2 linked regions of the Neurospora crassa OR74A genome follow. The protein of the gene in region 2 interacts with the protein of the main gene of each other region in a biochemical or structural test. Links are inferred from orthologs where the notes say so. Each region holds a gene or a part of one and is shown on either strand. Other genes may lie near its edges.

Region 1 (3,911 bases), on a different chromosome or scaffold from region 2:
GGTAAAACCAATTAGAAGAAGAGTGCAGTGGTAGACGGACGAGTGTCCTTTGATACTACTGACTGAGATACAACGAAGTGTCTGTCTTCATAGTATATGTCTACACCTCTGCCAGCACCGCACCAGAATAATGTGGCTGATTTCAGTTGTGCTAGGTATTATAAACCCATGAAAGAAAGTAAGACAAGTACATACGACCATACCCACTGGAAAACTCGGGATCCCGTCCGCTCTCCCATAGATAAGCCAGTGAGGGCCAGACTAGTAGTTGGGTCGGTGACGACCAGCGAATCCCTGGTGTTGTATGTTTTTTTTTTCTCCTTAGTTTCCCGTCCTTTTTCTTCGTTTCCTCTTACCTTTCATGTTCGTTCATGCCCGTGACCTCGAGGGTCAGCTCTTGCACTGGCTCTGGCTATTTGTTGGATGTTGGTGACAAGAGAGGCCTTGTATTGTTGGGAGCCAATCAAGAGATCGAAACAATCACGCACAGACCACAATCTTGTGTTTTGGTTGTCTCCAGTTGCCCCTATTATTTGTGTTTAGCCAAAATCATCTTCCCTGCGACTCTCCCTTCATAGCTATCATCAAGTCCGCCACTTCGCTTTGGTGTTGGCTCCAACACTTAATGATTGAACAACGGTAAAAGCCATAACAACGGGATAGTGGTCGCTGGCACTTTCATAGCCTCATTCTGGCACTTGAAACACAAAATTGGGTAGTATAACGCCTCGGAAACGCCAAGTATAAATCCCAGGCAGAATGTCATACATGAAAATTAGGATCCTTGGAGTGGTTGCCACCAATTCCCGACGACAAAACGTGACCTGCCCATAACGCAACGACATGCTTTCTTGACAACAAGACAATCATAACACCGCCCTCTCACCTCACCTCGCGCCCTCGATGTTCTGTCATAGGAAGTAGTCACCCAGCCCCCTTCGGCCTGCGGGGATATGCCGTTGATCGTCTGGCACGGCCGAGAAGATGCTGAACTTTGTGTTTTGGTCGCGGTCCACCGTCATGATGGATGCGACGTTACCGCAACGGTAACAGTAGTTGGGTGCCGACCATACGGTTACGACCGACTTTTCGGCAAAGTGGAACTAGATGAGAAACGCAGGTTAGCTGGCATTCCTTCTCATAACTGTGGAGAGCAACAAAAAGTGATGACCCACCTTGTAACCCTCATTTACCAGCTGATGCGCTCTTGCAATGGTTGTCAAACCGTTGACGTGGTTGAACTCTGTCGCGACCTTGTCTCCGAACAGCCAACCAGCGCCACGTGGACTGACAGCCCATGTATCGACGTCTTCTGGGTCACTCCACACAAGATCGCAGAAAGCACCCTCGTGCGGAATCTCCTGAGCACGCGCAACGACGCGGATCTGGTCAATCGTGCGGATCTCGGGACTGAGACCGCCGTGGACGCAGAGAACGGTACCGTCGACAATGGCGGCAAGAACAAGAAAGTCAAACACTTGGCAGCAAGCCTTCCAGACAGAGGCGTTGCCGTACTTTTGCTGGCACTCCTCGTAGAAACCGTAGACCTGGGTGATTTGTCGGGACTCGTGATTACCGCGCACTAGAACAATGCGATCTGGGTATCTGTTGGGCGAAAAGTGTCAGCAGCGTGAACCGAACCAGAACTAGAACGGGGGGCCTTCGTACTTTGCCTTGAGACACATGAGAAGGGTAAATGTCTCTAAACTGAAGTACCCTCTATCCACGAAATCTCCGAGGAAGACGAAGCGAGTATCGGCCGATTGAGAGCCCGTGTTGGCGCTGGATTGGGGGGTCTCTTCACTTGGGGATTCCTTCTCGCTTCCAGCCCCAGCCTCACTGTCTGTACTGCTCTTGATCTTCTTCTTGAGGTTGGGATCTGTGATTTCCGTTGGGGGCTCGATGTCCTCGGATGTGATGACGGTTGTTGCGGTCTTGGGCGCCTGGACGTTTGTCTCACCGGGCATGCCACCAGCAACGCGAAAGAGTTCGAGGAGATCGTAGAATTGGCCGTGAATATCACCGCAGATGGTGACTGGCGTAACAACAGGCTGGATGTTCGATTCTGATGACGTGGGGACACAAGTCAGCTGGACAAGTTCCCTTGTCGTGCGCGCCTTGGGAACACGGGATGCGAACGCGCGCGCGCGCGCGGGCATGTGTAATCCTGACTAGTAGTTGGTGCTCAAGTACCTTCCATAAGAACTTCCTTGACAATTTCGCAGAGCTGCTTCATGACAGGCTCAGGAAGGTAATGACATTGTTTCGCCTCCTCCAGCCACTCATCTAGACCGGCTCCGGGACGAAGATTAGCCGGACCCGGCTTTGGAATCGTGGACATGATGGTTGTATATAATCGGACTCGAGCCTTTTGGTGTACGGGCTGTAGTTGCAAGATGGGCGAGCAGCGAGCAGCGGGCGAAATATCTTATCAATCGAAGGGATGCTTGTGTAAGGCTGCGATGGAACTTGGGTTCCGCAATTGTTAATGTCGCTAGATGAATCGCGGGTCGCAAGGATTCGTGATTGAAGGGTCCTGGGGCCACCAAGTGCAAGTGGGAGGGCACTGCTAGACTTAAGTTGTGTTGTCGGGTGTGTTGGGTTGTTGTTTGTTGTTGGGATGAAATTCTAAGGATGACGACGATGCCGAGCGCGGGATCTGGATGGCTGAGGTGAGGTTGAATGGATGGGGCTGGAATCAACCTCGACCTCGACCTCGAACTGTGACCGGGCGGGCAGCCTGCCACCCACCCACTGGAAACCTACTGGTACTGTGAAGGTACTGCGTGGGACCCGTGGCCAACTGCGGTTTGCCAGTGGGCGAGTGCCCTGAATGGATTGCGCTGCAGGCCAAATCACGCGCGCACATTGGCGCCGAGAGCTGCCCCCCTCAGCCGCTGTGGGTCTGTGCACTCCCTTAAAGCAAACGAAGTTCTGGATCCCCGGAATTGCGGGGCACTTGGATTGTGGATTTCTTATCGAATCCGATAAGGCTGAGCGGTAGGTACCGCCGTACCTTAAAGACCAAGCTCCACCCTTTCCACTTCACTCAGCAATCGCATCCCGTCATTGCTCTTTGGATTTGTTACCCGAAACACTCATCCAACACCGCTCGCGCCAGCCGCGCCCTCCACTCTCACCAACATCGACAGCTTGATGTAAACTGTCGTTTCTCCAAAGACGGAGTCTCCCATCACGACACGAGCCCCCGCTGGTCTCGACCACCAGTACTTAGTACGCCGACAGACAGCTCTATCAACCACCGATAGACAATCATTCCGCCAATACTGTGAGCGAAGCATGAGGCTGTGATTTCTACACTAGCTCGAGACTCCACCCAGAAACTACACATACCCCGACCATTCCAAGCCACGGTAGCTTCAAAATTCAACCATGATGGCGGCGCCCCAGCTGCTTCTGCGCAAACCTAATGGCACCGCTGCCGGCCAGGCCACCAATGATGCCCAGAACGCACCCAAGACCAAGCCTCAGTCCGAGGGCGAAAAGGTGGTTGTCCGTCGACTTCCTCCCCTGCTAACCGAAGAAGAGTTCTTCAAAATCCTCGGCGATGAATGGAAAGTCGGCCATGGCAAGGTTGACTGGTTTTCATACTGGCCTGGCAAGAGCTCCCAGCAGTAAGTACATCACCGCAGCTTCTCCCCAACGCGCTTCTCACACAATCATGTGTCACAGTCCCTCACGGCCATCTCGACCCTCCCGCGCCTATATTCACGTTATCAGGAAAGATGACCTTTTAGTGCTCTCACAAGCTGTACAGAATGGCGTTTGGGAGGACGCCAAGGAATCATACAACGACCCGGTCCTGAACCTGCCGCCCACAGTCGAGTTGTCGATTCACAAGAAGATCCCTAGCGACAAGAAAAGGGTGGATAACCGCCAAGGCACTATCG
Region 2 (4,058 bases):
TTATGGTACAGAGCCCTGTCGTACGCAGAATGTACACTACACCGAGCTGTCAATCCCGCCATGGTTGAACGATGCGCCTTGCTTGTGTTTTGGTCCCTTCGTCTGATCTTTTGAAAGAGGGCTCCTGCATTCCGTCTGTCGTATAGTCTCCATAGTGAAACATCACAATGATGCAGTTGTGAACGGGGAAGAAGCGGGACATTGGTCACAGAATGTGTACTGCGTAGTGTTCTAAAGTAGTCAGAGAAGGCACCTGACTTGATCAAAGTGCCGTTCAATTCTCTTCGAAGCTGATATCGGATGGGTTATGGATGTCGTATTTGTCGCAATTGCTGTTGTAACGTATACCAGTCAGATTTAGTATTAATTTTGGGACCGGGAGCCAACCAAGCTAATATGATACAGCACAGACTCTCAATAGTACTGCGTACAGCAAGAGAACGAACTGAAAGCAGGCAGGCACTTTGGCACTGGATTGGCTATTGGGCCCCGTCCAGTTTCTGCCTAACAAAACGCTGAGCCTTCATTCCGACCTCTTCCACATTCACAGGGCGTAATATGGGAGGCGCGGTGTATCATGCCTTCCCTCGTAAATAGAGGTATGTAGAGGTAGAGGTACGGTGCGGTCCTGCCCGCATCATCAAGTATAAGCCTTTCGGTTACCTTACCTTACCGCAGCACGTTTGCCTTGCCCACGCAATGTCCACTGCAGTGCCGCCTGCATCCTATCCTGCCGTCGTAAGGTGTTGCCGGCGTCTTGCCTTGCCTGTTGGGGAACTGCAAATCAGCAGATTTTGTTTGTTTGAAAAGCAAGCCTGCATTCGGAGATCTTTGGATGACAGTTGGACATTGCCAGAGAAAAGGGCGCGCCCAGAAGCCACATGAAACTCCGCCCTCCAATGCCCTGGGCTGGCAGGCCTGGGACGCCTGGCCCTTGCCTGAGGTGGCTCGCTGTCCGACGGTGCAGTGAGAGAGCTCCAGTCATTTTTTGCCATCTCGCTCACCTTGGCACTGTGTCCGGCTTATTGCTTGGCCCGCACTGTGACACTGTGGATGGCGGCGGTGGATCACGGCTCCTCCACTTCCCGTCAGTTCGCCAGCTGGATGCCGCCAAGAACCAAGCCAAAAGAGCGCGCGCTGGCTGGGCCTGGTCGATCTGGCGAGCCTGGCTGGCACTTGGCGTTGCCGTCTCAAATCCTGCCAGTCCCCAGTCCCCCAGGTCGGTCGGCTGTCCAGAAGTCCCAGTCGGTCCCAGTCACCAAACTGCCTCCTCCTCCCTTCTCGCTGTCTCGTTTCCCTCTTCACATCGTCCTTTCCCTCGCCCCCCGTCTCACCACCGACGACCTAAAATTTCCCGGCGGCGACGACGACGGTAAGAGAACCTACCCCAACCACCAAAACAATCTCTTGTTTTTTTTCTTCCCCCGCATGCTGCACCATACATCAACACCAAGCCCGCGTCCATCAGCTTGCCGCTGCACGCTTCGTCTCGACTGCATTTTAACACATACCCGTACAGATTGAGCTGCATTTCATCGCCCCCGACGCTCCAACATCACTTAAGCAGCCTTCTTCGGCACGCACGCCCCTCTCGATTATTCATTGCCATCCTGGTCTCGACGACCCTTGAGCACAGCATTCGGTCTGCGACGACCGTTTACAAAAGGAGAACACATCCCGCCGAAGAGTGAGTTAAAACTTCCATCATCATTTCCGTCAGACGGGTTGTCGTTCCCAGCGAGCGAGGGAGGTTGCTGCACGCATTGTGGTGGTTCCACTCAGCTGCCGCCATGTATCGGTGAGCTGATTGTTGGCCCGTCCGCCAACCAATCTGCCCGCGCTGGCCGCATTTGCCCGCTGTTTGCCCGGATGCACACCGTCGCCATCGGTCACGACACCGACTTGATAGGCTTTTCAATAGCCTCGACACCCTTCTTGGCATGATGGTGGGAATGGCATCACTACAATGCTCCCCAAGGATGGCAGCGTCGCCCAGGCCATCGTTGAACACGTCCGTGTCGACATAGCCCTGATGGACAGTGTTGTCACGCCGTCCAGACGCTCCGTCTTCCAGGGCGATGCACGATGTGGATGTGTTTGCAGAGGTTTCTGGAAATGTTGCCGTCACCATTGACACATGGGCCACTTCATGGAGCAGTCGAACAACCTATTGTGACCGAGCCGGGCAAGGACTCCCACCCGAACACCTGGGACGACACTGGCCTTTCTCGACAGCTCAGCGTTCGACATCGTTGCGTATGCGTACCTTGATGGCCCTTTTACTGACATCTATCGGCTATAGTTACTGATCTTCTGGGATTCGTCTTTCTCCCCTATTAACCGCAAACATGACTACCATGGTACGCTTATCCGTCAATTCCGAATCACCACGGCCTCCTAGGCCTTTGGTTGCCAACGTCAAAGGTTGCATCCTGCTAACTGGAAGGCTAGGATCTCCGCGTCGGTAACAAGTACCGGATCGGTCGCAAGATCGGCTCTGGTTCTTTCGGTGACATTTACCTCGGCACCAACATCATCTCCGGTGAAGAGATTGCCATCAAGCTGGAGAGCGTGAAGGCCAAACACCCTCAACTAGAGTACGAGGCCCGCGTTTACAAGTCTCTCGCCGGTGGCGTTGGTATCCCCTTTGTCCGCTGGTTCGGCACTGAGTGTGACTACAACGCCATGGTCCTCGACCTTCTTGGCCCCAGCTTGGAGGATCTGTTCAACTTCTGCAACCGCAAGTTCTCTCTGAAGACTGTCTTGCTGCTTGCTGATCAGCTCATCTCCCGCATCGAGTACATCCATGCCAAGTCGTTCATCCACCGCGACATCAAGCCTGACAACTTCCTTATGGGGATTGGCAAGCGTGGCAACCAGGTCAACGTGATCGATTTTGGTCTTGCCAAGAAGTACAGAGATCCCAAGACTCACTTCCACATTCCTTACAGAGAGAATAAGAACCTTACTGGCACTGCCCGTTATGCCTCCATCAACACGCATCTCGGCGTCGAGCAGTCTCGCCGTGACGACATGGAGTCCCTTGGCTACGTCATGCTTTACTTTTGCCGCGGCTCCCTCCCGTGGCAGGGCCTTAAGGCTGCCACCAAGAAGCAGAAGTACGACCGCATCATGGAGAAGAAGATGACCACTCCTACCGAGGTTCTTTGCCGCGGCTTCCCCAACGAGTTTGCCATCTACCTCAACTACACTCGTTCCCTCCGCTTCGATGACAAGCCTGATTACAGCTATCTCCGCAAGATCTTCCGTGACTTGTTCGTCCGCGAAGGTTTCCAGTATGACTACGTCTTTGACTGGACCGTCTACAAGTACCAGAAGAACGCCCAGGCTATCCAGCAGGCTGCTGGCAACTCCAGCCAGCCCCAGCCTGCGGACTCCAAGGAGGCGGCCCAGGCTGCTGCTCGTAAGGACCCTCAGCAGGCCCTGAGGAGCGGATCCAGGAAGCCCATGACCGGCGAGACACCTGAGACCAGCCGTGCCGTCGGTGGCAGCGACAGGATGTGAGTTTGCCAGCCTAGCCCAGCATTCCTAGTAAGGAATCTTGTTTCCTTCGAGTTTGGTGTACTCAATAACGCTGGCCGGAGGTAGAATGCTGACATGATGGCTGACGTTCAGTTTGCGATAATAGGCTGCGCTCGGCTGCTAAAGGTCAAGGCGCTGGCTCCGGACATGTGGCCGGCAGGTATCGTCCTATGGAATGAGACTGCGGTTGCTCGCACATGGTATCTACTTGGAACAAGATCTTCGGCGGGTTGTTGGAGTAGCAGATTGCGCATTGGTCAAATGGTTTGATTCCTGCACCCGCCTTTCGTCATCCAACGTCCCTCGAGCGTCTGGATGGAGTGGAAGCGGATGGCTGTACCTGGCCAGCACCATCGACCGATGCATCTCCTCTACACAGCCAGACGGATTACTTGCGACAGATTGCTTCTCTTCGTTCTTCGGCATCTCTATCAGTTACTGCCCTTATTCATGGCTCGGACGGATCTTCGGTTTATGGCGGCAGTGCAGTTCGACTCTTGGTCGAATCTGTCTTG

What was found. The genes of interacting proteins can lie anywhere in the genome.
Region 1: the proteins of ck-1a (region 2) and tng form a complex in vitro, tested with the Saccharomyces cerevisiae proteins (2 studies listed by BioGRID). The link is inferred for Neurospora crassa OR74A from reciprocal best matches to the Saccharomyces cerevisiae genes HRR25 and SIT4.

Annotation. Positions count from the first base shown.
Region 1 is NC_026502.1:724,316-728,226, forward strand, and holds tng (serine/threonine-protein phosphatase ppe1), read right to left. Parts: upstream 2,741-3,911; 5' UTR 2,342-2,740; coding exon 2,194-2,341; intron 2,066-2,193; coding exon 1,669-2,065; intron 1,606-1,668; coding exon 1,176-1,605; intron 1,104-1,175; coding exon 912-1,103; 3' UTR 504-911; downstream 1-503. Other genes in the region: NCU03435 (hypothetical protein), read left to right, coding at 3,394-3,635, 3,694-3,911. UniProt on the Saccharomyces cerevisiae protein: Involved in the dephosphorylation of the large subunit of RNA polymerase II. Is required in late G1 for normal G1 cyclin expression, bud initiation and expression of certain genes that are periodically expressed during late G1.
Region 2 is NC_026501.1:7,562,090-7,566,147, forward strand, and holds the start of ck-1a (casein kinase I), read left to right. Parts: upstream 1-1,256; 5' UTR 1,257-1,372; intron 1,373-1,519; 5' UTR 1,520-1,687; intron 1,688-2,302; 5' UTR 2,303-2,348; coding exon 2,349-2,360; intron 2,361-2,451; coding exon 2,452-3,521; coding exon of another isoform or gene 3,522-3,525; exon of another isoform or gene 3,526-3,636; coding exon of another isoform or gene 3,637-3,646; exon of another isoform or gene 3,647-3,649; coding exon 3,650-3,722; 3' UTR 3,723-4,058. UniProt on the Saccharomyces cerevisiae protein: Protein kinase which phosphorylates serine and threonine residues. Can use casein as a substrate. Phosphorylates elongator complex member ELP1/IKI3 on 'Ser-1198' and 'Ser-1202' which promotes the tRNA modification function of the complex.